Anolis sagrei: one gene and its partner. The protein of the gene in region 1 interacts with the protein of each later gene in a pairwise test. Links are inferred from orthologs where the notes say so. Each region holds a gene or a part of one and is shown in the gene's direction. Other genes may lie near its edges.

What was found.
Region 2: the proteins of BIRC7 (region 1) and CASP9 interact in binary tests that used the Homo sapiens proteins (3 or more experiments, as listed by UniProt). The two-hybrid records come from large-scale screens. The link is inferred for Anolis sagrei from reciprocal best matches to the Homo sapiens genes BIRC7 and CASP9.

What each region holds. Positions count from the first base shown.
Region 1 is NC_090024.1:235,227,176-235,242,764, forward strand, and holds the start of BIRC7 (baculoviral IAP repeat-containing protein 7), read left to right. Parts: upstream 1-7,756; 5' UTR 7,757-8,098; coding exon 8,099-8,738; intron 8,739-15,274; coding exon 15,275-15,374; intron 15,375-15,589.
Region 2 is NC_090033.1:19,568,477-19,584,819, reverse strand, and holds the start of CASP9 (caspase-9), read left to right. Parts: upstream 1-10,523; 5' UTR 10,524-10,699; coding exon 10,700-10,954; intron 10,955-16,343. Other genes in the region: DNAJC16 (dnaJ homolog subfamily C member 16), read right to left, coding at 734-800, 5,259-5,425. UniProt on the Homo sapiens protein: Involved in the activation cascade of caspases responsible for apoptosis execution. Binding of caspase-9 to Apaf-1 leads to activation of the protease which then cleaves and activates effector caspases caspase-3 (CASP3) or caspase-7 (CASP7).

The sequences.
Region 1 (15,589 bases):
ATGACAATGCCCATCAGCTTGGTCAGGAGCTTATGGGGAGTTGTCGTTCAAAACTGGAGGATTCCCTCTTGAGAAAAGCTGCCTTAACACCCTATTTAGGTGTATGAGCATTTGTTTGCAGCCAAAGCCATATAGGGCTGTAAAAGTAAGTTTCTACACCTTGAACTGGGGATTTCCAAAGTGCTTTTAAAGCTTAATGCATCAGTAAGTGGAGTGCAGTTCACCAGATGTTGTTGGACTGCAAATCCCATCAACTCTTTTGCCATCGCTAACGGTAAGAGATGCTGGGATTTGTAGTTTGCTGCCATTTGGAGGACCACACTTCATGTACCTCCTGTTTTAGGGGGCTTGAGCCAGTCTACATATAACTGATGACATGTGAAGTGAGAAACACTATGCTTCTCCACTGATTTAATTAGCAGATTAAAAAAAACATTTTGCTTAGAATCATAGAGTTGGAAGAGACCTGATGGGCCATCCAATCCAACCCCCTGCCAAGAAGTAGGAAAATTGCATTCAAAGCACCCCTGACAGATAATGGAGCCCCCGGTGGCGCAGTGGGTTAAACCCCTGTGCCAGCAGGACTGAAGACCGACAGGTCGCAGGTTCGAATCCGGGGAGAGACAGATGAGCTCCCTCTGTCAGCTCCAGCTTCTCATACGGGGACATGAGAGAAGCCTCCCACAAGGATTATAAAAACATCAAATCATCCGGGCGTCCCCTGGGCAACGTCTCTCATGCCAGAAGCGACTTGCAGTTTCTCAAGTCGTCCTGACATGACAAAAAACAAAAACAAAACAAACCCTGACAGATGCCATTTTGCCTCTGTTTAAAAGCCTCCAAATAAGGAGCCTCCACCACATTCCGGAGCTTAGCTGTATTCAAAATATCATGGTTCCTGTGACAAATCATATGTATCTTTCATCAATATCTAGAGATTCGTGATCCATTTAGTCAGAGTTAGACAAGTACAAGTGATAGCTCACATTGTGAAGAGTCCGTTTATCAATGGCAACCATATATTATCATATTTCCATTCCACCTCCTCCATAAAATTTAGAGTAGTGTGCATGGTTGTTTTTTTTTTGTTGCACTTTTTATCCACAACAGTCCTCTGAGGTAGGTTAAGCTAAAGCCACAGACTTGTCCGAGGTCACTCATCGATAAGCTTCATTGCTGAGTTAAAATCTGGAGCTATATATTCTCTGATTCAGGTCTCTGAGGCAGAGATCCAAAACCTGTAGTCCTTGGGAAGCTGTGGATTTCGGTATCCATAAGACTGAAACCTAACTGATAGTCAGAAGCGATGGGAGTTAGACTCCAACAATACTTTGACCACTACAAGTTCCTGTAAGTCTAGCTGATGGTCAGGATGATGGGAGTTAGAGTCCAACAATGCCTGAACCACTACAGGTTCCCCACCCCAACACCAACCTTCATCATATATAGGCTGAGCATCCTTTATCTGGAATTCCAGAAATGCCCAAAATACTTTTGAGTAATAGTTTTACTTTCCAACAGTTCAATGTGCACAAAATGATGCTCAACATTACTACAACTATTGTATAAAATCGGAGCACAAGCCAAAACCCAGTAGGTTTTGGCTTGTGCTCTCAGGTGTAGTCAAAAACAGCTTGCAGCTTTAAAAATTAACACAAATGAGTTAATTTACCAGGTGGAGCTTGCAAGTTAAAGGTGGCCCAGGAGGCAGCATTATTCTCTTAGTTTCTGTTGTAGTGGCTGCGGATCAGTGTTTCTTGTTGTGGTTAATACCATTAGGTAAGTGCCAGGCATAAACAATAACATAATTGTGTACAGAGAGTTTGGGGCAGTGGGTTGTGACTCAGATGCCTGTGGCTTGGTTTGCTGACTTGAGTTTATTGTAAATATACTTGTTATGTAAGACAGGGTGGTGTAATGGTTTGAGCGTTCAGTTACAATTTTGGAGATAAGGTTCCAATTCCACCTGGGCATGAAAGTCTACTGGGTGACCTTGGACAAGTCACATTCTCTCAGCTTCAGACAAACTCCCCCCCCCCACCAAAAAACAAACAAACAAACCCTGTGATTGTTTCCACCAAAGACTAGAAACAACTTGAAAGCATACAGCAACAAATTAGTTGTGGACACTATTTATTCTCTCTTACAGGGATATAGCACGAGGCAACGACAAAATGATTGCATTGTCAGGCCAAATAAGGATTTTACTAATCCAAAATAATGTTCCTTCAGTCCCCAAACTTCTACCACTCAAAATAATTCACACCTAGAACTTTTGTTTCCTTGTGTTCATTTGTCCTTGGTAACTTTTTTTTACCTCTTTCCTTTGGATGTCTAAAACATATTTTTAGATGCCAAAATGGAATGTTAAATGACTGCTATGCTAGTAATTTGTGGAAAATTTTAGGGGAGAGGATTTGTACAGAGGGGCAATGTTTCCATTTTAGTCTGCGCTTGTAACTATACCTCTGCATATAAAAGCCCTCCAAATGTTAGACTGCAAATCCCAGCAGTCTTAGCCACATTATAAAGTGTGGAGGTGAAACTCTGTATAGCTGGGCAAAAAGGAAAAGTGTATATTTGACTATTTAGAATATACTTTGGAAACTGTAAAGCTCAGAGGTATCTTAAGGTAAAGGTTTTCCCTGACATTATGTCTAGTCGTGTCTGACTCTGGGGGGGGGGGGGGGGATGCTCATCACAGTTTCTAAGCCAAAGAGCTGGCATTGTCCATAGACACCTCCAAGGTCATGTGACCAGCATGACTGCATGGAGTGCCATTACCTTCCTGCTGGAGCAGTACGTATTGATCTGCTCACATTTCCATGTTTTTGAACTGCGAGGTTGGCAGAAGCTGGGGCTAACAGCGGGAGCTCACCCCGCTCCCCGGATTCAAACTGCCAACCTTTCGGTATGTTACAATCATATAAACTACTCTTTATGTATAGGCTGTCACACCTCAGTTCCTTATGTTCATGTTGAAATACTGTGCAGTGGGGGAGGAATAGTAACTGCTAGGTTGGCAGAAGCTGGGGCTACCAGCAGGAGCTCACCCCACTCCCCGGATTAAAAACCCCCAACTTTTCGGTATATTACAATAATATAAACTACTCTTTATGTATAGGCTGTCACACCTCAGTTCCTTATGTTCATGTTGAAATATTGTGCAGTGGGGGAGGAATAATAATTGCTAGGTTGGCAGAAGCTGGGGCTAACAGTGGGAGCTCACCCCGCTCCCCAGATTCAAACCGCCAACCTTTCGGTATATTACAATATTATAAACTACTCTTTATGTATAGACTGTCACACCTCAGTTCCTTCTGTTCATGTTGAAATATTGTGCAGTGGGGGGAGGAATAATTAATGTAAAATGGCATTTTTTGTTCTTTGTTGTTCAGCTGTAACAAAGAAAGGAGAACCAATGTACTGTCAGAGGGCAGAACAACAAATTCTCTGTTCTGGAGTCATCAAACTGTCTTAAACTCCGGAACGTCTTCCTCCATCCTCTGCTATTTTCTACAAAGTGGAACTGCTATGACTATAATTAACAACAACATACTTGGAATTCATAAGGCCTCAGAGTCAGCCTGGAAAGGTAGTTAGTTATCCACTATACAGTTGTCCCTCCCCATTCGTGGTTTTGGCTTTTGTGGATTTGATTATTCACAGACCATGTTTACCACGTTCTCCTTAGGAATATCTGGGTTCTCCAGTGTGACTCTGTGGCCAACTTTCTGTAGTCATGCTGGAAGACCTTGGGCCTTTCCACACAGCCATATAAACCAGAATATCAAGGCAGAAAATCCCACAATATCTGCTTTGAACTGGGTTATCTGAGTCCAAACTGCTATATATCCCAGTTCAAAGCAGATAATGTCTTATTTTATTCAACTGTGTGGAAGGGGCCCTTGAGATCTATAGAGAGAATGCCTCCTGTTATGCTTGTCTATAAAATTATAGGTATTCCAAAATTTTAAAACCCTGTCCTAAGCATTTCAGATAAGAGATACTCAACCTATATATATTGTCGCTAAGCATGGGGACCTGTTTAGTCATTTTGGGTTGCTACTGGCAATAGCCTCAGTCCCTCTATTAATTTCTTCCTATGATTGAATATAGAACCAGACATATTCTGCAGACTAGTGAAAGTAGACGTTAAAGTAGTTCAATATGATACCATAAATCATTCTATATTTCTCCATAAGAGTTTCCTAGTATAGATCCCCAGAGCAAGATCATAAGCGTGCTTATAATTTCAGATATCAATCAACAAAGGTGCTTTCTCTTAAAAACTGTTGTTTCTGCTTCTCTTGGCTTTAGCAGAATTGGACTTTTCAATAGCAGCTTCCTGGTTCTTCTCAGGATATTTGCCCTTGCATTGCTTATTTCTGCTTTACAGCTGGAGTCAGCAAATGTTACTCTACTGCAGGGGTCCTCAAACTACGGCCCGCGGGCCACTTCTGGCCCACCAAGGGCATTTATCCGGCCCGCGGAGGAGGAGCCCCCCCCCCCACACAGTGCCTCTCCCTTGGCTGGCTCACGCTGTCAGGCCCGATGTGTAGCATGAGCCAGCCAAGGGCGGCTGTCCCACGCGGCCTACTCTCGTGTAAAGCACCTCGCGAGGAGCTTTATGCGAGAGTAGGCCGCGCAGTGCTGCTCCTCCCTTGGCAAGCTCACGCTATCTGTCAGGCCCGATGGGCAGTGTGAGCCAGCCAAGTGAGGCTGCCTCGGGCTCCATGCAGTCATGCCAGCCACATGACCTTGGAGTTGTCTATGGACAACGCCAGCTCTTCGACTTAGAAATGCAGGTGAGCACCATACCCCAGAGTCAGACATGACTGGACTTCATGTCAGAGGAAAACCTTTTACTAGGAAAATTGTGGAAGATCCAGGGTGGGAGAAAGAACTCTTGTCTGTTGGAGTTGGGTATGAATGTTTCAATTGGCCACCTTGATTACCATTTCATTGCCTGACAGTTTTTAGGGAGAATCCTTTGTTGAGAGGTGATTAGCTGGCCCTGATTGTTTCTTGTCTGGCGTTCCCCTGTGTTTGAGTGTTGTTCTTTATTTACAGTTATAATTTTAGAGTTTTTTTAAATACTGGTAGTCAGATTTTGTTCAGACTAGAAATAGGAAGATTTCCCATTCTCTGCTCCTGGAATTACTGCCTAAAGAGGGCTAGAAAGAACCCCCTCTAAGGGCCCTTCCACACAGCAAAATAAGATATGTGCAATATGTATAGGATTTTTTTAATTGATTTTTTTTTTAAAAAAACTATAGTCCGGCCTTCCAACGGTCTGAGGGACAGTGAACTGGCCCCCAGTTTAAAAAGTTTGAGGATCCCTGCTCTACTATGTAGCCTTCAACATTTTAGAGGTGAAAACAGGACCAGGTGTAGCCAAGATAGTAGGGTTATTAAGGAGGACAAATTAGAAAAGGCTGCAGTAGTATGTTTTTGCCTAAGGCTACTGGAAAGAGCAAGGTTTTCCCCTCACTACTAGGTTAAAAGGGTGCTAAGTACTTTTGCACTTTGAGCTCAGTTTGCAGCAATTGAAATGGACCCCTTGGTGGCACAGTAGGTTAAACTGCTCAGCTGCTGAACTTTCTGACTGAAAGAGTGACAGTTCGAATCCAGGGAGCGAGGTGAACTCCTGCTGTTAGGCCAACTCCTGCCAACCTAGCAGTTTGAAAACATGCAAATTTCAGTATATCAATAAGTACCGATTCTACGGGAAGGTAACGGCATTCCATGCAGTCATGCTGGCTACATGACCTTGGAGGTGTCTACAGACAACACCGGCTCTTTCGCTTAGAAATGGAGATGAGTACCACCTCCCAGAGTCTGACATGGCTAGACTTAATGAAAGGGGAAAATCTTTACCTTTACCTACAGCAATTGAAACCAGCCTAGTACAAAGAGGGACCCTTGGAGTAGGAGAAGACATGGACATTTTAAATGGAGCAGAAAAAGTGGAATGAGAGAGGATTAATCAGAACTGTCAATGGTGCATTGTCATTACTTATGTCAGTGTTTCTCAACCTTGGGGTTGGAACCCCGGGGGGGGGGGGGGTTGCGAAGGGGTGTCAATGTGGTCACCAAAAACTATCATAAACCATATTTTCTGTTGATCATGGGGGTTCTGTGTGGGAAGTTTGGCCCAATTCTATCGTTGGTGGGTGTGGGGCGTAAGATTGCACATAACTGAATACGTGATGCCACACCACATATGTAGTTTTCTGTCACCACTTTAAAACCTGGGATATACTCTGTTTCTGTCCTTTTACAGGTGCCTTTCTTCTTGACTCAGTGAGGGGAAGAAGAATTTCCTTTCTAAATTCCTTTACTGCCTTGTACTGCTGCAGTTTCCCTTTTAAATTGGTTGGGGCTTTCTTGTGAGCTGTTAAACCTTTGTGCTTTATATCACAGGCTTGAAACACTCCGATAAGCAACTAAGTAACAAAGTTTATTTATAGCTTCTGGTTCCAATGCTTTATGGTTACATTTGTGTTTTGTTACAGCCTCGAGTCTTACATTCAGTATAATTCACTCAGTTAACTTTTCTTATGAAACCCTCACTGTCTCACATCAATGAATATGTTACTTTCTTCACATTCCCTTGGCTGAACTATATTCTGACTTAGAAAGCTCTTGGATTGTAGGTGAACAATAAATCCAAGCAACTACAACTCCCAAATGTCAAGGTCTATTCCCCCAAAATCAATCAGTGTTCACATTTGGGTGTATTGAGTATTCATGCTAAGTTTGGTCCAGATCCATCATTGTTTGAGTCCACAGTGATCTCTAGAGGTAGGTGAACTATAACTCCAGAACTCAAGGTCATTGCTCACCAAACCCTTTCAGTATTTTCTGTTGGTCATGAGAGTTCTGTGTGCCAAGTTTGATTCAACTCCATTGTTGGTGGAGTTCACAATGCTCTTTAATTGAGGTTAACTATAAATCCCAACAACTACAACTCCCAAATGACAAAATCAATCCCTCCCAACCCCACCAGCATTCAAATTTGGACATATCGGGAATTTGTTCCAAATTTGGTCCAGTGAATGAAAATACATCCTGCATGTTAGATATTATTTACATTACAATTCATAACAGTAGCAAAATTACAGCTATGAAGTAGCAACAAAAATAATATTATAGTTGGGGGTCTCCACAACATGAACTATATTAAGGGGTTGCAGCATTAGGAAGGTTAAGAACCATTGCCTTAATTGCTCCGTGAAATTACTGTTTCAACAGAGAATTTGATACCAGAGTCATGTATAACATGGAAATAATAGAGTTCTATTCCTACACCATAGAAAAGAACAACAGCAAACTTTTGTTCAAAACAAATAATATGCTCATGCAAAGTGAAACTACCAGATCCAAGTAATTAAGTAAATTAAAACATTTTGAACATTTTAGAGACAGTTTGGAACTGTTTTCCAAAAAGTATCCAGGGGTAATCTGTTTATTTTCTCAACAGCCTTGACTTTTCTTATGCTTTCCACTTTTCCAGCTGGTTTTAAAATATCCTGGTTTCTTTCTTGTCCTCCCACTTTCTCTTTTTTTCTTCATTTTTTTTCAGTTGCTGCAAACTGATTTCAAAGTGAAAAAAATAGTACACACATATATAAACAGGAGACCAGTGGGATGGGTCTTTTACTTTTATGTAAATGGCATAAACATTAGACCTGTTTAGTCATTCTGTGAGTCACTGGATTACCTCCCTCCCTTTTGTCCTGCCTGAACAAAGTCCACAAGGCATTCAGTCTGACAGGAGACCTTTTGTGTCCAGTGTGCCCCTGCTTTAAACTGTTGCTGGATTTCTCTCTTCTTTCTCCCTCCCCACCCAAAATACTCACACTCACATCTGGCTAGCTGTGACTGTTTCTCTTTTTCTTCCTTTCCTGTTCAAGCAAGGAGAAGAATTGGACAGAAGGGCTACCATTGACCTCCAATAATAAAATCAGCAGACTGCAGAAAAGCCAGAATTCTGAATATCTGTTGTTTGGGAGCTTGTTTGGCTTTTGGAGTTGGGAGATTTCCAGAACACACTGTCAGTGGATCGGTTGGTAGAGCCAAAGAAGACCAAAGCATGCAGGCTGCTGATGTGCATACGCGTTTGCTTGCATCTAGCACCAGGTTTATTGCTGATGTGCTGGCCTCTTTCCTGCCTAACAACCGGGAAATGGAAGATCCAAACAGAAGGGAGAGTGCATCTTCAGAGGGCAGCTCCTCTCCAGAGGAAACCAGGGGCCGGCAAATCTATTTGTCACACTCTGGTATGAGATCGGAAGAAAAGCGACTCAGGACCTTCCGGCACTGGTCAGAGCAGGTACCTGTCTCTCCATCCGACTTGTCTGCAGCTGGGTTTTTCTTCATTGGGCCTGGTGACCACGTGGAGTGTTTCTGCTGTGGAGGAGTGCTTTACGACTGGACTGCTGAAGACGACCCCATGGTGGAGCATGAGAAGTTCTTCCCAAGCTGTCCCTTCATCCAGGGCAGGGATTTCGGCAACCAGCCCCTGCCTCGGGCTGGAGAAATCCCGGACTGTGTGGATGGCCAGTTCCTTGGCATGCTGCAAAGTTTGAACATGGAAGAAGCTGCCGGAGACAGCCAACCGGAATATCCAGATCTGGAAATGGAAAGGGATCGCCTGAGGACATATCACTGCTGGCCACCCTACGCTCACGTGTCTCCAGAGGAGCTGGTGGGAGCAGGCTTTTTCTACACAGGTATGCACAAATACCAGCACTGTCCTGCTAGGTCTTACCCAAAGTCCAGGTAGTACAGTATTCTGGTCCCAGCAGGTCTTTTTCAGGGAACTCGAAAATAATATTGCAAAACCAATTACTTTACTTGTTTATTAATGTTGAATGTGCATTGAAAGTACTTCTGTTTGTGAAGGCTCCATTTCAGTCATCATGTTCAGAATGGTTTGACTTTGAAAGAGGAGGTCTAGGAAGAATATTTTATTTCAACAGGCATTTAGCAATTAGCTTGTTGGTGCAGAAGTGCTTTTTAATAATATAAGATATTGCACACACATATAATATTGATAACAATATTATAATGTAGTACAATATAATACTACTAATAATACAATATCATAATTATATATTTTATTACATGTAATATTAGTAATAATATTACAGTATAATGGTATAGTACAATATAGTAATATATAATACTAATATTGTGCTGTGCTAATAATATATTGTATACACATATAATATTGATAATATAATGTAATCTATGCAAATAAAAAATGTAATGTTCATTTGTGGGATTAACATAACTTAAAAACCACTGGGCAAATTGACACCAAATGTGGACACAATATACCTCTCAGCCCAATGAGTGACCATAACTCATATAAACACTGAAAAACACAGCGGAAGGGACTTAAAAAGCAACAAAAAAAGAAATAAATGCTACAGCGCATGCGCAAAATGGCTCCCTTGGCAAAAAAACCCCCCACACAATAGCATATCCACACTCTCTTCCGGACTACAGCTCCCAGCATCTCCTAGACCAGGCCCCTTAGGAGAGGAGGATGATCCAAATGCACTGCTTCCAAGATGCAAGCTTGCTTCTCCTTGGATTTCTTTGAGAGCATCTCAATCCCTGCATATTTCCAATTTCCTATTCCTGGACTGCAACTCCCACCAATCTTCCAGATAAATAGATAGATTAGATAGAGATTGGTAGGTAGATAGGTAGATAGATGGATCAGGAGGGCTGTTGGGAGTTGCAGTCCAAGAATAGGTAAAGAAGGAAAAAAGAGGAAGGGAAAGAAAGGGAGGAAGAAAGGGAAAAGGAAGGGAAGGAAGGAATGAGAGAAAGAAAGAAAAAAGGGAAGGGAGGAAAAAAGGGAAGAGGGTGAGAGGGAAGGAGAGAAAGAAAAGAGAAAGAGAGAGGGAAGGTCAGACATAGCAATGTGTAGTGGGTACAGCTAGTAGAATATAATATTGATATTATAATGTAACATTACAAATCAGCCATAGCAGAGCACCTGACAAACCACCTGGACACAGCATTTTGTTTGAGAACACCGAAATGCTGGACCACTCTCACAACCACCATGTCAGACTACACAGAGAAGCCATTGAAATCCACAAGCATGTGGACAATTTCAACAGAAAGGAAGAAACCATGAAAATGAACAAAATCTGGCTACCAGTATTAAAAAACTCTAAAATTGCGACAGCACAACAACAGAGAGGAAACAAACAAGGACATCTAATCACTTCTCAACAAAAGTTTGCTCCAGGCACTGTCAGGCCATTATATGCTAATCAAGGTGATCAGTTGAAACATTCACACCTAGCTCCAGCAGACAAGAGTCCTTTGTCCCACCCTGGTCATTCCACAGACATATAAACCCTTTTTCCTAGCTCCAACAGACCTCACTGCCTCTGAGGATGCTTGCCATAGATCAGGGGTTCTCAAACTAAGGCCTGAGGACCGGATATGGCCCTCCAAGGTCATTTACCCGGCCCTCGCTCAGGGTCAACCTAAGTCTGAAACGACTTGAAAGCACACAACAACAACAACAACAACAACAACAATCTTACCTCATCAGCCAAAAGCAGGCCCACACTTCCCACTGAAATACTAATAAATTTATATTTGTTAAAATTGTTCTTCATTTTAATTATTGTATTTTTAAGTGTTTTTGCACTGCAAATTAGATATGTGCAGTGTGCATAGGAATTCATGCATTTTTTTCAAATTATAATCCGGCCCTCCAACAGTTTGAGGGACTGTGACCTGGCCCTCTGTTTAAAAAGTTTGTGGACCCCTGCCCTAGATGCAGGTGAAACGTCAGGAGAGAATGCCTCTAGACCATGGCCATATAGTCCGAAAAAACCTACAACAACCCATTACAAATAAGATTACAGTATAGTGGTATAGTATATTATAATACTATATAATACTAATATTGTGCTATGTTAATAATATAAAATTGTGTGTACATATAAAAGCTCAGAGTCCCCTTCGGGGTGAGAAAGGCAGGATATAAATGTTGCAAATAAATAAATAAAATAGTGTGTATATGCTGTACACCTATTCTTAATATGCTATTACACTGTTTGAAATTATGGTTTAGTATGACCACTTATTTTTAAAAACTTTTAAATGATCAGGTTGCTAGCCCCACTTTGTTTTTCAAAAGGTCGAAGTCTAGATCTTGTCCATTTATTTGTTCCTAGAATGGATGAGAATCTGTGGAGTTGGAATAGACCACAAGGGCCAACCAGTCCAGTGCCCCTGCCATGCAGAAACATACAGTCAAAACACTCCCAACAGATAACCCTCCAACTTCTGTTAAAAAATCTCCAGAGAAGGAAACATCACACTCCAAGTCAGCATATTTCACTGCTGAACAGCTCTTACTGTCAGAAAGTTCTTCCTAATGTTTAGGGGGTCGTCCCATCCCCCCTGTCGTGCCCCCCCCCCCCCCGCAATTTGAATCCATTGCTCCATTGTGTGCTAGTCAGGAGCAGCAGAAAACAAGTGTGCCCCCTCCTCAATGTGACATCCATTCAAATATTTAAACACACCTCTCATGTCCCCTCTCAAATCTCTTTTCTCCAACCTAAATATACACAGCACCTTAAGCTGGTCCTAAAAGATCTTAGCTTCCAAACCTTTGATCATTTTGGTTGCCCTTCTCTGGACACCTTCCAGCTTGTTTATAAATTAAGTTACCTAGAACTCACACAGTATTAGAGATAAGGTCTGACCAAAGCAGAATAGAGTGATGCTATTACTTTCCCCAATCTGGGCACTAAACTCCCCATTGATGCAGCCTAGAATCACACTGGCGTTTTTAGCTGCTGCTTCACACTGTTGACTCATGTTATAATGTGCACTCTGTCCACTTTGCAGTCCAAAAAACATATACAACCCTCTTATCAGATCCATGTTAGGAGCCCCCAGAAATAACAGAAGAGGAAATTGAGAAAGCTATAAGCAAAATGAATGTAGATAAGGCGCCGGGACCGGATGGGTTTACGGCAGGATTCTACAAGACGTTTAAACAACAGTTGATACCCATTTTCAAAGTTATAGCGAATGAAGCTTTGAAAAATCGAAAGGTACCAGACTCCTGGAAAGAGGCAGAAATAACTGTGATACATAAAGAAGGTTCACCGGAAAATGATATTAAAAATTATAGACCGATCTCCTTGTTGAATACGGATTATAAAATGTTCGCAAACATCATGGCCACAAGATTAAAATCTTTTTTAAGTAAATGGATTGGAGAAGAACAAACAGGTTTTCTCCCAAATAGACACATGAAAGAAAATGTATTAGATCTTTTGGAATATTATGAGACTAACCATCAGAAAGAATTTGCCCTTTTGTCAATAGACGCTGAGAAAGCATTTGATAATTTGAATTGGGATTTCTTCAAGATTCTGATACAAGAGTTGGACATGGGAGAGAAATTTAACAATGCAATTAATGCCATATATGAATTTCAAAAGGCTAAAGTGAAAGTGAATGGTCAAGTGACTCAAGAATTTGAGATTACAAAAGGCACGAGACAAGGTTGTCCACTCTCTCCATTGATTTTTGTTATGGCGGTGGAGATCCTGATGAAGAAGATCAGAGAAGATGAAAAGATTAAAGGAGCAAAAGTTGGAAAATTTGAATATAAAATACGAGCGTTTGCAGACGATTTAATAGGTACAATCGAAAATCCGGAGAAAAATCTACAAAGTTGGATAAATAAAATAGAAGACTTTGGAAAGGTGGCAGGTTTCAAGATGAACATGAAGAAAACTAAACTTTTATTTAAGAATGTGAATAAGGAGAAACAAATAAAGATCCAACAACAGATTGGAATAGAAGGTGTCAAGAAAATTAGATATCTAGGAGTTTGGATTACAGCTAGAAATGGACAACTCTTAAAGAATAATTATGAATCAGTCTGGAAGAAGGTTCAAAAGGACTTACAGAACTGGGACCGGTTGAAAATATCTCTTCTGGGAAGAATAGCCTTGATAAAAATGAATGTATTACCAAAACTCATGTTCCTGTTCCAGAATATACCGGTGATAAGAAGTCAAACTTTGTTTAAACAGTGGAAGAAAGACTTAATGAAATTTGTCTGGAAAGGAAAAAGACCAAGAATTAATTACACAAATTTAATAGATAAGAAAACAAGAGGAGGATTGGGCTTTCCCGATTTGAAGACATATCACGAGGCCTGTGCATTGTCCTGGATTAGGGATTGGATGACTTTAGATAAAGAAAAGTGCCTAAACCTAGAAGGCTATGATTTAAGAGTGGGATGGCACGCGTATGTATGGTATAATAGAGAGATGAAGGAGAAGAATTTTGGTAACCATTTTGTGCGAGCCTCCCTATTACGGACATGGATAAGATATAAAGCTCTTTTTTATAAAACAACACCATTATGGATTTCAGCAATGGAGGCACATCAAAGAAGATTACTAGGATGGAGGACCTGGCCAAGATATAAGGATATATTAGTGAAAGGGAAAGCGGAGATCAAAACATTTGAACAATTAAAGACTGTATATAGCAATATAACTTGGCTAAATTACCTACAAATTAAAGAATACCATAAACAAGATCGGAAAATAGGTTTTGATTGGAAGGAGAACACATGGGATAGAATATTAAATATACAGAAGAAAGCGGTTGCAATATTATATAATAAATTGCTCCAGTGGATGACAGAAACAGAACAGGTGAAAACCTCCATGATTAAATGGGCGGAAAATATAAGAAGACCCATCCACTTTGGGGAATGGGAAATGATGTGGAATAAAAAATTGATATATACATATGCTATGGACTTAAAGGAAAACTGGTATAAAATGTTTTATAGATGGTATTTGACTCCGAGTAGACTGAGTTATATGTACCAAAATGTATCAGATAAGTGTTGGAAATGTAAGGAGCAAGTAGGCACTTTTTACCACATGTGGTGGACATGTAAAGAAACAACAAAGTTTTGGTCTATTATTCATGAGGAGATGCAAAAAATATTAAAGAAAAGTTATAAGAAGAAGTCTGAATATTATCTTCTGGGATTTACAGACGTTGATCTTAAACTGGATGAGAACGAAGATAAACTATTTACTTATTGTACAACGGCGGCCAGGATGGTTTTTGCCAAAAAATGGAAGAATGGTGAAGTTCCGAGTATTGAAGAATGGTGGAAGAAAATCAAAGAAATAAGAGACATGGATGAACTAACTTTTTTGTTGAGAAGAAACAATGGAAAAGTTTTGAGGAGGACAGATTGGTCCCCTATATATGAGTATGAAAAGAAAGTTGAAAAAACAATGGGATGAGAATAGACATTAAGGTGAAGAAATGTATAGAAAAGATCCGGAGGTTGGAGTGGAAGTCATTTTAGAATAGTTGGATAGTTTTAATGTCTGTATTAGATGTTAGTTAGGTATTGTTGCTTTTTGTTCTTTTTTTTCTGTATGTGTATTTCTCCCTTTCCTACTGTTCTATCTTCTTGTTATTGTTCCCCCTCTTTCCTTGTGTGGATTTGTGAAAAATTTAATAAAAAATCATTTAAAAAAAAAAAAAAGGAGCCCCCAGTTGCGCAGTGGTTTAAACCCCTGTGCCAGCAGGACTGAAAACTGACAGGTTGCAGGTTCAAATCCGGGGAGAGGCAGATGAGCTCCCTCTATCAGCTCCATCTCCTCATGTGGGTACATGAGAGAAGTCTCCCACAAGGATGATAAAACATCAAATCATCTGGGCGTCCCCTGGGCAACGTCCTTGCAGAAACCCAATTCTCTCACACCAGAAGTGACTTGCAGTTTCTCAGGTCGCTCCTGACACGACAAAAAAAAAAAAAAGTTCCATGTTGTGTCCCACCACTTGGATTTCACAGGTGTGTCAATAGGAGGCCTGAAAAAAACAGCATGACAATCAGCTACAAGAGGATCGCTATCTGGGTATCTACTTCTGTCCCTCAATTCCAACAGGCTAAATGTTGAAAAGATGTCTCCTAAAAGTTATTTCAAAATACTAGTGTGGGTCGCGGAATTAGATTTTTGTCATTAGAATGAATAAAGGTGTTGGAGTAATGTTTCTCAATCCAGGCTCATATGAGTGTCGCTCTACTCCTGAGAGATGCTTGAAGCTTTACCGGCTGTTGCTAAGTAGCTACCTAAGGAGCTGCTGTGTATATCTTGTGTAGCCATGACTCTTTTGTTTCTATGGCTGTTGTCTAACCATGAGACCATTTGTCTGAATTTTTTTTCAGGCGATGGAGATTGGGTACGATGTTTCTACTGCGATGGTGCTTTGAGGAATTGGGAACGTGGCGATGATCCCTGGGTGGAACATGCCAGATGGTTTCCAAGGTAGATCATTCCTGTATATGTAATCCTCCACACACCCCTTCCACCCCCACCCTATACACTTTCTCTCTATTTGGGTATAGGTGAAAATGGAAAACAGAGTAGCATTTATGTGTCCCTAATGATGTTGATTTCCTAGCTTTATTTATTTATTTATTTATTTATTTACAGCTTTTATGTTCCGCCCTTCTCATCCCGCAGGGGACTCAGGGCGGATT
Region 2 (16,343 bases), on another chromosome or scaffold:
TCCCATCATCCATTGTCTGTCCTCTCCCAAACCTCACCAGGATGTAAAGGGGGTCATGTGTGCCAAGTTTGGTCTTGATCGGTCATTGGATGAGAGTCACAGCGGTCTCGGGAAGTGAGTGGAGATACTTCAATTCCCATCATCCATGGACAGCCATCCTCCAAACTGCAGTAGAATTTAGACTGGGTCATGGGGGCTCTGTGTGCCAAGTTTGGTCTTTATTGGTCCTTGTTGGGGGCCGTAGTAGTCTGTGGGAACGGATGGGTTTGAAAGTACTACAAATCCTATCATCCTTTGCCCGTCCTCCCCCAAACCTCATCAGGATGTAAAGGGGGTCATGGGGGTTATGTGTGCCAAGTTTGGTTCAGGTCCGTCACCCGTGCTGGTCACAGTGGCCTGTGAAAGTGGCAGCCAATCCCTCCCTCCACATACAAACATTGACTTTTATTATATACATAGATAGATAGATAATAAAGTAAAATAATAAATATAATAATAATACATAGAGTAAAATAAATGTAATAAACTAATAGAGTAAAATAATGTAAATGTAATAATACCAATAATAGAGTAAAATAATAAATGTAATAAAAATAATACTAATAACAGTCTAAAATAATAAATTCGACTCGAGTATAAGACGAGCGGGATTTTTTGATCCTAAAAAAAGGGCTGAAAAACTAGGCTTATACTCGAGTATAGACAGTATGTGTGATTGTCTGTCTGTCCGTACCTCGTACGCTTTGCTAATCTGGATGAACTTATCTTCCGCTCCAGGGTCCTTGTTTTTGTCGGGATGCCTGCAAAGCAAACACAAGGAATAGGTTGGGATGGATTTTAACTGTGATTTTTTTTTAGTACTGTTTGTGTTTCATTCTGTTTTAATGTTTGTATCGTTACTTATTTTAAACTAGCTGTCCCCTGCCACGCGTTGCTGTGGCCCACATGAGGGTTCTGTGTGAGAGGTTTGGTCCAATTCTATCGTTGGTGGGGTTCAGAATGCTCTGTGATTGTAGGTGTACTATAAATCCCAGCACTACAACTCCCAAATGTCAAGAGTCTATTTTCCCCAAACTCCACATTTCGGCATATTTAGTACTAACACGCGGGGCAGTAGTCAATCCAAAAGGCAAAACGCTAAAGCAGAATGCTTGATGCCCGATCATAAAAGACAGAAATCTCCTATTTCCCCCAAACTCCATCTGTGTACATATTTGAGCATACGGAGTATTTCTGCCAAGTTTGGTCTAGATCCATCATTGTTTGAGTCCACAGTGATTTCTGGATGTAGGTGAACTACAACTCCAAAACCAAAGGACACTGCCCAGCAAACCCAGTATTTTCTGTTGGTCATGGGAGAAATGTGTGCCAAGTTTGGTTCAATTCCATTGTTGGTGGGGTTCAGAATTTGATTGTAAGTGAACTATAAATCCCAGCAACTACAACTCCCAAATGACAAAATCTCAATTTTTTGAGTGATGGTCACTCCTTGTGTTGTGAGACTTTTTGTTGCCAAATTTGGTGCGATTTCATTCATTAGTTCTTTTGTTTTTAAGGTACTCATGACACACAGAGCATTTTTATATATATAGATTGTATAGTAATGCCTTTATGTCAAGCCGAGCTGAGTCTCCTTTGGAGTGATACAGCAGGGTAATAATAATAATAATGATAATAATAATAATAATGTTTGTTGGTTGGAGAAAGGAAAGGGGAAAACGTATGAGGGGATGGAAAGAAAGAGAAAGGAAGAGAAAGGAAGAGAAAGGAGAAAAGATAAAGGAAGGGAAGGAAAAAGGAACAAATGGAAAAGAGAAAAAAAGAAGGAAACGAAGAAATGAAGGGAGAGAGAGAAGGGAGAGAGGGATAGAAAGAAGAAAGAAGAAAAGCAAGGGAAGAGGGAAAAGGGAAAAGTACGGAGGGTGGAAGGAAAGAAAAAGGGGAAGGGAAAGGAAAAAAAGAGAAAGGGAAGAAAGAAAGAAAGAAAGAAAGAAAGAAAGAAGAGAGATCAAGAAACAGCAAAGATAAAGGAAGGGAAGGAAGAAAGAACAAATGGAAAAGAGAAAAAAGAAGAGAATGAAGAAAGGAAGAAGAAGGGAAGAGAGGGATAGAAAAAAGAAAGAAGAAAAGCAAGGGAAGAAGAAAAAGGGAAGGGGAAAACGTATGGGGGGATGGAAGGAAAGAAAAAAGAAAGAAGGGAAGAGAAAGGCAGGAAAGAGAAAGGAAGGGAAGAAAGAAAGAAGAGTGATCAAGAAACAGCAAAGATAAAGGAAGGAAGAATGAACCAATGGAAAAGAGAAAAAAGAAGTGAAGGAAAGGAAGAAGGAAGGAAGAAAGGGAGTGAGGGAAAGGAGGAATAGAAAAAAGAAAGAAGAAAAGCAAGGGAAGAAGAAAAAGGGAAGGGGGAAAAGTATGGGTGGATGGAAGGAAAGAAAAAGAAAGAAGGGAAGAGAAAGAAGAAAAGAGAAAAGAAGGGAAGAAAGGAAGAAAGAATAAAGAGAGATCAAGAAACAGCAAAGATAAAGGAAAGGAAGAAGGAACCAATGGAAAAGAGAAAAAAAGAAGTGAAGGAAAGGAAGAAGGAAGGAAGAAAGGGTTAGAAAAAAGAAAGAAGAAAAGAGAAAGGAAAGAATGAAAGAAAGAAAGACTGAAAGAAAGAAAGAACAAAGAGAGATCAAGAAACAGCAAAGATAAAGGAAGGGAAGGAAGAAAGAACAAATGGAAAAGAGAGAGAAAGAGGAGAACAGAATGAAGAAGGAAGGAAGAAAGGGAGTGAGGGAAGAGAGGAATAGAAAAAAAGAAAGAAGAAAATAAGGGAAGAAGAAAAAGGGAAGGGGGAAAGAAAAAAGAAGGGAAAGAAAAAAGAGAAAGGGAAGAAAGAAAGAAAGAAAGAAAGACTGAAAGAAAGAAAGAAAGAACCAAGAAAGATCAAGAAACAGCCAAGATAAAGGAAGGGAAGGAAGAAGGAACCAATGGAAAAGAGAGAAAAAGAAGAGAAGGAAGGGAGGGAGGGAGGGAAGAGAGGGATAGAAAGAAGAAGAAAAGCAAGGGAAGAGGAAAAAGGAAAGGGTGAAAGTATGGGTGGGTGGAAGGAAAGAAAAAAAGAAAGAAAGAACAAAGAGAGATCAAGAAACAGCAAAGGAAGGGAAGGAAGAAAGGACAAATGGAAAAAGAGAGAAAAAGAAGAGAACAGAACGAAGAAGGGAGGAAGAAAGGGAGGGAAGAGAGGAATAAAAAAAGAAAGAAGAAAAGCAAGGGAAGAAGAAAAAGGGAAGGGGGAAAGAATGGGGGATGGAAGGAAAGCAAAAAGAAGGGAAGGAAAAGAAAAAAGAGAAAGGAAGGAAAGAAAGAAAGAAAGAACAAATAGAGATCAAGAAACAGCAAAGATAAAGGAAGGGAAGGAAGAAAGAACAAATGGAAAATAGAGAAAAAGAAGAGAAGGAAAGAAGGAAGGGAGGGAGGGAAGAGAGGGATAGAAAAAAGATAGAAGAAAAGCAATGGAAGAAGAAAAAGGGAAGGGGAAAACATATGGGGGGATGGAAGGAAAGAAAAAAGAAGGGAAGGGAAAGAAAAAAGAGAAAGAAAAGAAAGAAAGAACAAAGAGAGATCAACAAACAACAAAGATAAAAGATGGGAAGGAAGAAAGAACAAATGGAAAAGAGAGAAAAAGAAGAGAAGGAAATAAATAATAATAATAATAATAACAATAATAATAATAATAATTCTGCTTTTTCTTGCAGCTCAAGGCAGGGCACAACAGGGTTTTAAAACGGAACGGTAAAATACAACAGTATTAAAATACATACGACATTATTATTATTATTATTATTATTATTATTATTATATCTCATCATCATCATTATCATCGCAACATAGAGTTAATGCAGTTTGACACCACTTTGACTCCCAAGATTCCCTAGCACTAAAACTAGAACTCCCAAAATCCCATAGAATTAGAACCAGAATTCCATCGCATTAGAACCAGCTTCCAAGATCCCATCATATTAGAACTAGAATTCCCAAGCTCCCATCACATTAGAACCAGAACTTCCAAGATCCCATCGCATTACAGCCAGAACTTCCAAGCATAGCATTAGAACTAGAACTCCTGAGATCCCATAGGATTAGAACTAGAACCCTCAAGATCTCATCAGTTTAGAAGCAGAACTCCCAAGATACTATTGCATTAGCAGAACTCCCAAGATCCCATAGGATTAGAACTAGAACCCGCAAGATCCCATAGCATTAGAACGAGAATTCCCAAGCTCCCATCACATTAGAACCAGAACTTCCAAGCATAGCATTAGAACCAGAACTCCCAAGATCCCATTGTATTAGAACTAGAATTCCCAACATCCGATTACATTAGAAGTAGACTCCCAAGATCCTATCGTATTAGAACGAGAACTCCCAAGATCCCATCATATTAGAAATAGAATTCCCAAGCTCCCATCACATTAGGACTAGAACTCCCAAGATCCCATCGCATTGGAACTAGAATTCCCAAGATCTCATCACATTGGAACCAGAACTTCCAAGCATAGCATTAGAACTAGAACCCCCAAGATCCCACAGGATTAGAACTAGAACCCCCAAGATCCCACAGGATTAGAACTAGAACCCTCAAAATCCCATCACTTTAGAACCAGAACTCCCAAGATCCCATTGCTTTAGAACGAGAACTCCCAAGATCCCATCATATTAGGACTAGAACTCCCAAGATCCCATAGGATTAGAACTAGTACCCTCAAGATGCCACCACTTTATAACCAGAACCCCCAAGATACTATCACATTAGCAGAACGACCAAGATCCCATTGCTTTAGAACGAGAACTCCCAAGATCCAATCGCATTGGAACTAGAATTCCCAAGATCCCATCACTTTAGAACTAGAACTCCCAAGATCCCATAGGATTAGAACTAGAACTCTCAAGATCCCATCACTTTAGAACCAGAACTCCCAAGATACTATAGCATTAGAATCAGCTCCCAAGATCCCATCGTATTAGAACTAGAATTCCCAAGCTCCCAGAACAGAACCAGAACTCCCAAGATACTATCGCATTAGCAGAACTCCCAAGATCCCATTGCTTTAGAACGAGAGCTCCCAAAATCCCATTGCATCGGAACTAGAACTCCCAAGATCCGATCACATTAGAACTAAAACACCCAAGATCCCATTTCATTGGAACTAGAACTCCCAAGCTCTCACCACAGAACCAGAACTCCCAAGATCCCATTTTCCCCATCCGCTCACCATTCCCGGGCGAGCTTCTTGTAGGCCTTCTTGATCTCGGCCTGGCTGGCCGTCCGGCTGACCCCCAGGATCCGGTAGGGGTCGAAATCAATGGCCGACAAGATCTGCAGGGCCAGGACGAGGAAGAGCAGCGCCACCAGCGAGACGCTCAGCCGCTTCATCTCCATCTTGCTTCCTGAACAAAACGAAGCGGAGAGAGGTCAGGAGAGGCCAGAAATATACATATCTATTATTGTTGTTGCAATTATTAGTATTATTTTGCTGTGACATACTGTGTTTTGTGTCAGTAAAATAATACTAATTAAAATATAATAATAATATTGTATAATGATAATACAATATTATACAATAATATTGGACTAGGTGGCCCCTTATATAATAATGATTATTATTATTGTACTAGATCAGAATATTGTACTACAAATGTAAAATCTAAAATAATATGCAAATATCTAAAGCATACACACACACACAATTACTAAAATGTAAAATATCACTACTGACTGAAAGGTCATGAGTTCGAAGCCAGCCTGGGTCAGAGTGAGCTTCCGACCAATTTGTATAGCTTGCTGTCGACCTTTGCAGCCCGAAAGACAGTTGCATATATATATATACACACACACACACATATATCTATATATATAAATCTGTTAGGTTGGTTCAACCGGACAGCAAAACTCCACAACCCCCCAACGAAACTTAACCAAAATTCCCATGCCCATAACACAACCCACAAGGTACAAATATATCTACTCAAAATGAAAAACAACACAACAACACACTCACAAAACGGCAAAACAACAAAGCTCACAAACCCCCCAACGAAACTTAACCAAAATTCCCATGCCAATAACACAGCCCACAAGGTACAAATATATCTACTCAAAATGAAAAACAACACAACAACACACTCACAAAATGGCAAAACAACTGAGCATGCGCATTGGTGCCCAGCCGCAAGTTCCCTGGCGCGCACACACAGCCTTCTGGCCAACGTTCCCTCTGCAGAAGCCATGCCCACTCCAAGCCCCACCACGCCGCTTCCCGCACACACACACACACCCTGCCGCACGCACACACACAACCCCACGCTCCATCACTCCCCCCGCCACCACACACACACACGCAACCCCATTCCCCCCGCCGCCGCACACACACATACGCAACCCCACTCCCCCCACCGCCGCACACACACACACAACCGCAGGCTCCATCATTCTCCCCGCCGCTGCACACACATATGCAACCCCACGCTCCATCACTCCCCCACCGCCGCACACACACACGCAACCCCATGCTCCATCACTCCCTCGCCGCCGCACACACACACGCAACCCCACGCTCCATCACTCCCCCCGCCGCCGCACACACACACGCAACCCCACTCCCCCCGCCGCCGCACACACACACGCAACCCCAGGCTCCATCATTCCCCCCGCCGCTGCACACACATAATAGTCCAAATATCTACCTCAACTTTGATAAGTTTTACTATAGGCCACAGCAACGCGTGGCAGGGCACAGCTAGTAGTATATATATTATACATATTGCATCAAGAGGAGCCTAGTGTCTACATCCAGGGAAGTCCTGTTCCCCATGCTCTATTCAGCCTCTGTTCATTTTGTGCTTTAGTCTTGCGGACCTTTTCCCTACAGGTGTTGGCTATTTGTTTGAATTCTTCTTTGGTGATTTCTCCCTTTTTCCACTTCTTGTGCATGTTTCTTTTGTGTTTTAGCACAGTTAAAAGTCCTGCTCTCCATGCTCTATTCCGCTTTGGTTAGACCACGTTACCTGGAATATTGTGTCCAATTCTGGGCACCACAATTCAAGAGAGATATTGACTCTAAGCTAGAATGTGTCCAGGGAAAGAGGGCGACTAAAATGATCAAGGGTCTGGAGAACAAGCCCTATGAGGAGCGGCTTAAGGAGCTGGGCATGTTTAGCCTGAAGAAGAGAAGGCTGAGAGGAGATATGATGAGAGCCATGTATAAATATGTGAGAGGAAGCCACAGGGAGGAGGGAGCAGGCTTCCTTTCTGCTTCCCTGGAGAGAGACTAGGACGCAAGGGAACAATGGCTTCAAACTACAAGAGAGGAGATTCCATCTGAACAAGAGGAAGAACTTCCTGCCTGTGAGAGCCGTTCAGCAGTGGAACTCTCTGCCCTGGAGTGTGGTGGAGGCTCCTTCTTTGGAAGTTTTTAAACAGAGGCTGGATGGCCATCTGTCAGGGTGCTTTGAATGCAATATTCCTGCTTCTTGGCAGAATGGGGTTGGACTGGATGATGGCCCAGGAGGTCTCTTCCAACTCTTTGATTCTAGGATTCTATGATTCTAGGTCATGAGTTCGAAGCCAGCCGGGGTCAGAGTGAGCTTCCGACCAATTTGTGTAGCTTGCTGTCAACCTTTGCAGCCCGAAAGACAGTTGCATACACACACACACACACACACACACATATAGTATATATATTATACATATATATATATACAAACACACAATAAAAAGGTAAAATGTCAGTATAAAATATAATATCAAAATATAAATATATATAATACAAAGATAAATGTAATGTATATATATAAAATATAGACATATAAAATAAATAATAATAAACATATATTATCTAAAAATATAAAAACATACAAATAAAATATTATATATAATATATGTATATACACACACATATAACATTATATATATATATTATACATATATATAAATATATAAATATATAAAAATATATATTATACATTATATATATATATATATATGTATACACATACATATATATAAACAAATAATAAAAAGGTACGATGTCAGTATAAAATATATTATAATATATAAAAATACAGACATATAAAATAAATAATAATAAACATATATTATCTAAAAATATAAAAACATATACAAATAAAATATTATATCTTATAATATTATATAATATATATATACACACACACACAAACACACATATATATATAAAACATTATATATATTATACATATATATAAATATAATAAAAAGGTAAAATGTCAGTATAAAATATAATATCAACATATAAAATAATACGTACACAAATATAAATGTAACATATATATAAATATATACATATAATATAAATACTAATAAACATATATGATCTAAAAATATAAAAACATATACAACTAAAATATTATATAAATATAATATTATATATATTATAATATTATATAATATATATATATATACACACACAAACATATATATATAACATTATATATTATACATATATATATATATATAAATATATATTACACACATATATAAACAAATAATAAAAAGGCAAATTTGAGTATGAAATATAATATCAAAATATCAAATAATATTTATATAAATATAAATGTAACATATATATAAATATATACAAATAATAAAAATGTTGAGACAAAATATATTTATAAATTATAAAATAATGAACAAACATATAAATATATCTATATACAAAAAATATTTACAAAATACAAAAATAGAATACCCATCAAACAATAAAAATATAATTTCTACGAAATATAACAATTTTATATATATATATATATAATAAAATTAGAATATCTAAAAATGTAATAAAAATAGAATATCTATAAAACATAAAAATATACAATATATATTATATATATATATATATAAAGAGTTCATATACATAGTTTAATATTATATATATAAAAATAATAATTGGTGAAATGTTCGCACTACCCACCCTCAGCTCTCTTCTCTTGTCCCTTTAGGCTCCACTTCCGGTTCCGGCCGCCGTCACCATAGAGACGCTCACTTCCGGCAAGGCCAAGCCCCGCCTCGAAACTTGGCCGGGAGGGTAAGCGAGCGGTGGAACGAGCTGCGCATGCGCCGAGAGTATAAGGCGGGGGAAACCGCGCATGCGTAGAAAGGTGTACCTCGCATGTGTGGTGAGCCGTCTGTCTACTGTGGGTTGGTTGGGCATAAGGAGATGGAAACTGCGCATGCGCGGATGGCCGTTTGTCTCGGGGATTGTGTGGTAATAAGGAGCAGGAAACTGCGCATGTGCGGAGAGAGAAAAAGCTGGGGAAACTGCGCATGCGTAGAAAGCTGTACTTCGCATGCGTGGTGAGCCGTCTGTCTCCTGCGGGTTGTTTGGGCACAAGGAGCTGGAAACTGCGCATGCGCAGAGAGCTGCTTGTCCCGTGGATCGTTTGGCAATAAGGAGCTGGAAACTGCGCATGCGCGGAGAGCATATGGCGGGGGGAAACTGCGCATGCGTAGAAAGCTGTAGCTCGCATGCGTGTTGAGCCGTCTCCAAGCGGCTCTCCGCGCATGCGCAGCTGGAAACGGCGCATGCGCAGAGAGGTGTTTGTCTCGGATCGTTTGGCAATAAGGAGCTGGAAACAACTGCGCATGCGCGGAGAGCTGTTTCTCTTTTGGATCGTTTGGCAATAAGGCGCTGGAAACTGCGCATGCGCAGAGAGCAAAAAGCTGGGGAAACTGCGCATGCGTTGTGAGCCGTCTGTCTCCGGGTTGTTTGGGCATAAGGAGCTGGAAACTGCGCATGCGCGGAGAGCCCTTTGCCTTGCTGCGGGTTATTCAACCCTAAGTAGGGGGAAACTGCGCATGCGTAGAAAGCTGTGCTTCGCATGCGTGGTGAGCCGTCTGTCTCCTGTGGGTTGTTTGGGCACAAGGGGCTGCAAGCTGCGCCTGCGCGGGCACATGGAGCTGGAAACTGCGCATGCGCGGAGAGCCGTTTGTCTTGCTGCGGGTTGTTCAACCCTAAGGAGGGGAAAACTGCGCATGCGTGGTGAGCCGTCTGTCTCCTGCGGGTTATTTGGACACAAGGAGCTGGAAACTGCGCATGCGCAGAGAGCCGTTTGTCTCGCTACGGGTTGTTCTACCCTAAGGAGGGGGAAACTGCGCATGCGTGGTGAGCCGTCTGTCTACTGTGAGTTGTTTGGGCACAAGGAGCTGGAAACTGCGCATGCGCAGAGAGCCTTTGTCTCGATGCGGTTTGTTCTACCCTAAGGAGGGGGGAACTGCGCATGCGTGGTGAGCCGTCTGTCTACTGTGAGTTGTTTCGCCACAAGGAGCTGGGGAAACTGCGCATGCGCGGAGAGCCGTTTGTCTTGCTAGGGTTGTCCAACCCTAAGGAGGTGGAAACTGCGCATGCGTGGTGAGCCGTCTGTCTACTGTGAGTTGTTTGGGCACAAGGAGCTGGAAACTGCGCATGCGCAGAGAGCCGTTTGTCTCGATGCGGTTTGTTCAACCCTAAGGAGGGGGAAACTGCGCATGCGTAGAAACCTGTACCTCGCATGCGTGGTGAAGAGCGGTTTGTCTCATGGATCGTTTGGCGATAAGGAAGCGGACACTGCGCATGCGTAGGGAGCTGCTTGTCTCCGGGCAGTTCAACCACAAGGAGATAACCGCGCATGCGTCAGAACGATGTCGCCAAGCGGTGGCCATATATGGGCATGTGGCGTCACGCAAAGGGGAGGAGCCAGGGGCGTGGTCAAGGGTAGGGGAGTTCCCTACCCGGAAGTAGCGTGTTTTCCTCTATTTCCCGCCATGGAGGAGTCCCACCGGGTTTTGCTGCGGAGGAATCGGGTCCGGCTGGTGAAGGAGCTGCGAGTGGATCCCCTCTGGGATCTCCTGGTGCAGGAGGGGGTCTTCTCCCAGGACATGGTCGAGGAGATCCAGGTCCAGTGCCTTTCAGTGCCTTGATAAGAGAGGGCAGAATACAGGGTTAGTCAAAATGCATAGGCCAATAAGCCATTCAATTGAATGGCTTATTGGCCTATTCATTTTGACTAACCCTGTATAAACATGGCAACAGGAAGGAGGGCAGAATAGTATAAACATGGGGAGGAGGAAAAGGATAGCGGGGAAATAATAATAATAATAATTATAATAATAATAAATTAGATAATCATTTAATTTATACAAGTCAAATAAATAAATAAACAAATAAAATAAATCAAATACATTATTATATTATAATAATAATAATAAATTATTCAAGTCAAATAAATAAATAAAATTTTTATTTATTTGTTTGCTTGTTTGGAAGTTTTCTATCCCGGCCTTCTCACCTCAACCGAGGGACTCAGGTCGGTTTACAGCATATATGCAATTGCAAAATACAGGGTTAGTCAAAATGAATAGGCCAATGTACAGGGTTAGTCAAAATGAATTGGCCTATTCATTTTGACTAACCCTGTATACAAATACAACCGAGTGCAACATCATTAAAGATTAAAACCACACAATAAAATACAATAAAACACCATCATTGCAATTACCCAGGCCAGAACGTCAATACAGTCGTAGTCGTAGTCACAGTTCATCAAAGATTCGATACCGTCGACCACGGTATCCTTCTGGGACGCCTCGCGGGAATGGGCCTTGGTGGCACTGCTCTGCAGTGGCTCAGGTCCTTCCTAGAGGATCGTACTCAGAAGGTGTTGCTGGGGGACAACTGCTCTACCCCACAACCATTGACTTGTGGGGTCCCGCAGGGCTCAATATTGTCCCCCATGTTATTTAACATCTACATGAAGCCGTTGGGAGAGATCATCCGGAGTTTCGGGGTGCGGTGTTATCTGTACGCAGATGACGTCCAACTCTGTCACTCCTTCCCACCTACTACTAAGGAGGCTGTTCAGGTCCTGAACTGGTGCTTGGCCGCTGTATCGGACTGGATGAGGGCGAACAAATTGAAATTGAATCCAGACAAGACAGAGGCACTCCTGGTCAGTCGGAAGGCCGAACAGGGCATAGGGTTACAGCCTGTGTTAGACGGGGTGACACTCCCCCTGAAGACGCAGGTTCGCAGCTTGGGTGTGATCCTGGACTCCTCGCTAAGCTTGGAACCCCAGGTTTCGGCGGTGTCCAGGGGAGCATTTGCACAACTCAAACTTGTGCGCCAGTTGCGCCCGTACCTTGGGAAGTCGGACTTGGCCACGGTAGTCCACGCTCTGGTCACATCCCGGATTGATTACTGCAACGCGCTCTACGTGGGGTTGCCCTTGAAGACAGCCCGGAAGCTTCAGATGGTCCAGCGCTCGGCAGCCAGGTTGCTAACTGGAGCGGCACTCAGGGAGCACACCACTCCTCTGCTGAGCCAGCTCCACTGGCTGCCAATCCGCTACCGGGCTCAATTCAAGGTGCTGGCCTTAGCCTATAAAGCCCTAAACGGTTCTGGCCCCGCTTACCTCTCCGAACGCATTTCCGCCTACGAACCGACTAGAACATTAAGATCGTCTGGGGAGGACCTGCTCTCGATCCCGCCTGCGTCACAGGTACGCTTGGCGGGGACGAGAGACAGGGCCTTCTCAGTGGTGGCCCCTCGGCTATGGAATGCCTTGCCAGCTGACATCAGGCAGGCACCTTCGTTGCTGGCGTTTCGGAGAATGGTCAAGACCTGGCTTTACGAACAAGCGTTCGGCTAAGCAATGCAACTAACTAAGGAAGACGGTAACTGAACATAGGAACGGCACAATGACTATGAGAATGGATCTGACTTTAACGGAGGCGCTATATATGTTGTTTGTCGATTTGTCTGTCTATGTTAATTGTTGTGGAGCGACGTTGTCGTCCCGGTTGTTGTATTGCCGTGTTTTTAATTGCACTGTAAACCGCATTGAGTCGCCTGTCAAGGGCTGAAATATGCGGTATAAAAGTGAAGCAAATAAATAAATAAATAAATATTCATTTTGACTAACCCTGTATACAAATACAACCGAGTGCAACATCATTAAAGATTAAAACCACACAATAAAATACAATAAAACACCATCATTACAATTACCCAGGCCAGAACGTCAATACAGTCATAGTCGTAGTCACAGTTCATCAAAGATTCAGTCCTCAAATGCCACATTCCAGAGCCAGGTCTTTAGTAATTTCCTGAAAGTCAGGAGGGAGGGGACAGATCGAATTTCCAGTGGAAGGGAGTTCCAGAGCCGGGGAGCCACCAATGAGAAGGCCCTGTCTCTCGCCTCCACCAAGCGCGACTGAGAGGGTGGTGGGACCGAGAACAGGGCCCCTCCGGAAGATCTTATTTATTTATTTATTTATTTATTAATGCACTTGTATACCGCTAATATCTATTATTACATTTTACTACACGCATATTATATTTTAGTATATATTATTATATTATATTTATATAACATTACATTATTATAGTATTTTTATTTTATTATTTTATTTGTTCATGGCCCCAATGGAGAGAGCAAGGAACACTGGGATATTTATATTATTAATATATTTTATTATTATATTTCTACTATTATTATATTTTATTATAGTCATATTACATTAGTATATTTATATTATTTTATCTGCTTTATATTTATATTATTATTGTTTTTTATTTTTTTATTTTATTTGTTCATGGCGCCAATGGAGAGAGTAAGGAACACTGGGATATTTATATTATTAATATATTTTATTTCTATATTTCTACTATTATATTTTATTATATTCACATTATATTCTAGTATATATTATATTTATATATTACCTTATTATAGTATTTTTATTTTAATATTTATATTATTAATATATTTTATTACTATATTTCTACTATTATAATTTATTATATTCATATTATATTTTAGTATATATTATTGTATTATATTTACATAATATCACATTATTATAGTATTTTTATTTTAATACTTATATTAATATATTTTATTTATTTATTTATGTACTTGTATACCGCTAATATCTCAGCCTAAATCGGCGACTCATTGCGGTTTACAACATTTAAAAAACAATATTCAGTTAAAAGCATAAAACACATATACAGTACAAATTATTGGGCCACCAATAACAATCCTATGCATCTCATAACTGGAATCGTAATCCAAAATTCATCGTCCGTGTATAACCAATCCTTAGTCATCACAATTCGTTACAACGGATTAACCGAATGCTTGTTTAAACATCCATGTCTTCAATCTTTTCCGAAACACCATCAGCGAAGGGGCTGATCGTACCTCTATGGGGAGGGTGTTCCAAAGCCGGGGGGCCACCACAGAAAAGGCCCTATCTCTCGTCCCCGCCAGCCGAGCTTGAGAAGCAGGCGGGATCGAGAGCAGGGCCTCCCCGGAAGATCTCAAAGTCCTGGTGGGTTCATAGGCAGAGATGCGGTCAGATAGGTAGCTTGGGCCGGAACCGTTTAGGGCTTTAAAGGCCAACGCCAGCACTTTGAATTCAGCCCGGTAGCAGATCGGTAGCCAGTGGAGTTGGCGCAACAGGGGGGTTGTATGCTCCCTGCACTCCGCTCCTGTTAAAATCATGGCTGCCGAGCGTTGGGCTAGTTGGAGCTTCCGAGCTGTCTTCAAAGGCAACCCCACGTAGAGAGCGTTGCAGTAGTCTAAACGGGATGTAACCAGAGCGTGGACTACCGTGGCCAAGTCAGACTTCCCAAGATACGGGCGCAGCTGGCGCACAAGCTTTAGCTGTGCAAATGCTCCCCTGGTCACCGCCGAAACCTGGGGCTCCAGGCTCAGCGATGAGTCCAGGGTCACACCCAAGCTGCGAACCTGCGTCTTCAAGGGGAGTGCGACCCCGTCCAACACAGGCTGTAACCCTATGCCCTGTTCGGCCTTGCGACTGACCAGGAGGACCTCTGTCTTGTCTGGATTCAATTTCAATCTTAATAACCTTAATAATCTATTATACATTATTATATGTATAATAATAATAAATTATTAGATAATCATGCTGTATATGTATATATGTGTGTCCTCCTTTCTTCACAACCGTGGACAGCGAGTGGAGAGGGAAGGCCTGGTCTCAGAGAGGTCCCCCCTCTCTCTCTCTCTTGTGGGGTTCCTCCTCAGGGGGCCATTCTCTCCCCTCTCTTGTTTCACATCTCTATGACCACTTGCTCAGCTGGTTCAAGGTTTTGGGCTGGAGTGTTATCAGTATGCCGATGACACTCAGCTGGTGCTGAAGATGGAAGGCCGACCAGACTCTGTCCCCGATTGTTTCCCTCAGTGCCTCATTGAGGCCGTGACTGGATGGCTGTGTGCCAGCAGGTTGAGGGTGAATCCAGCAAAGACGGAGATCCTATGGCTGGGTCGACCGGGCAGTGGGGACGTCCAGCTGCCTACCCTGGATGGCGAGGCACTACGCCCGTCCTCGTTGGTCAAGAGCCTGGGAGTCCTTTTGGACCCTCTGCTGACAATGGAGGCCCAGGTCTCCGCCGTGAGCAGCACCACCTTCTTTCTTTCACCTGCGGCAAGCTAGACTGCTGGCCCCCTCCCTGTCCAGGCCACGGTCATCTCAAGACTGGACTACTGTAACGCCCTCTACATTGGCCTCCCGCTGTCGGTGATCCGGAAGCTCAAGTTGGTACAAAATTCAAGTGGGAACTCCGATGAGATGCCACATCACCCCAATCTTCCTGCAGCTGCATTGGTTACCCATTGAGCACCGGAGCACTTTCAAAGAGATGGGACTCACCTTGAAGGCCTTGCATGGTCTGGGGCCGATGGACCTGAGGGACCACCTCACCCCCTCCCAACCCCAGAGATCCCTCCATTCTGAGGACCAAGATCTATTGGAAATCCCCAGTGTCAAGACCTTTCATCTAACAGCAACCAGGCACAGAGCCTTCACAGCAGTGGCACCATCGCTCTGGACTCTGCCACCTGAAGTCCGTGCCTTGCGGGACTTACTAGCTTTCTGCAGGGCATGGAAGACATACCTGTTTCGACAGGCCTTTGATCTTTGATATTGCTGTTTTTAAATTGTGTTAGATTTTAGCCTGTTCTTGTAAGTCGCTCCAAGCCCCAGGGGAGTGGCGCCATATGCGTTTGCATAATAAAATAAATAAATAAATATACCTCCCTGGGATGCATTTGGGAGCTTTAAAAACACAACAATGGTGTGTGTATATATATATATAATCATTATAATAATACATTCTATATGTGTGTGTGTGTGTATATATATATATATATATATATATATATACATACAATCATTATAATAATGTGTGTATATATGTGTGTGTATATATATAATCATTATAATAATACATTTTATATATGTGTGTATGTATTGTGTA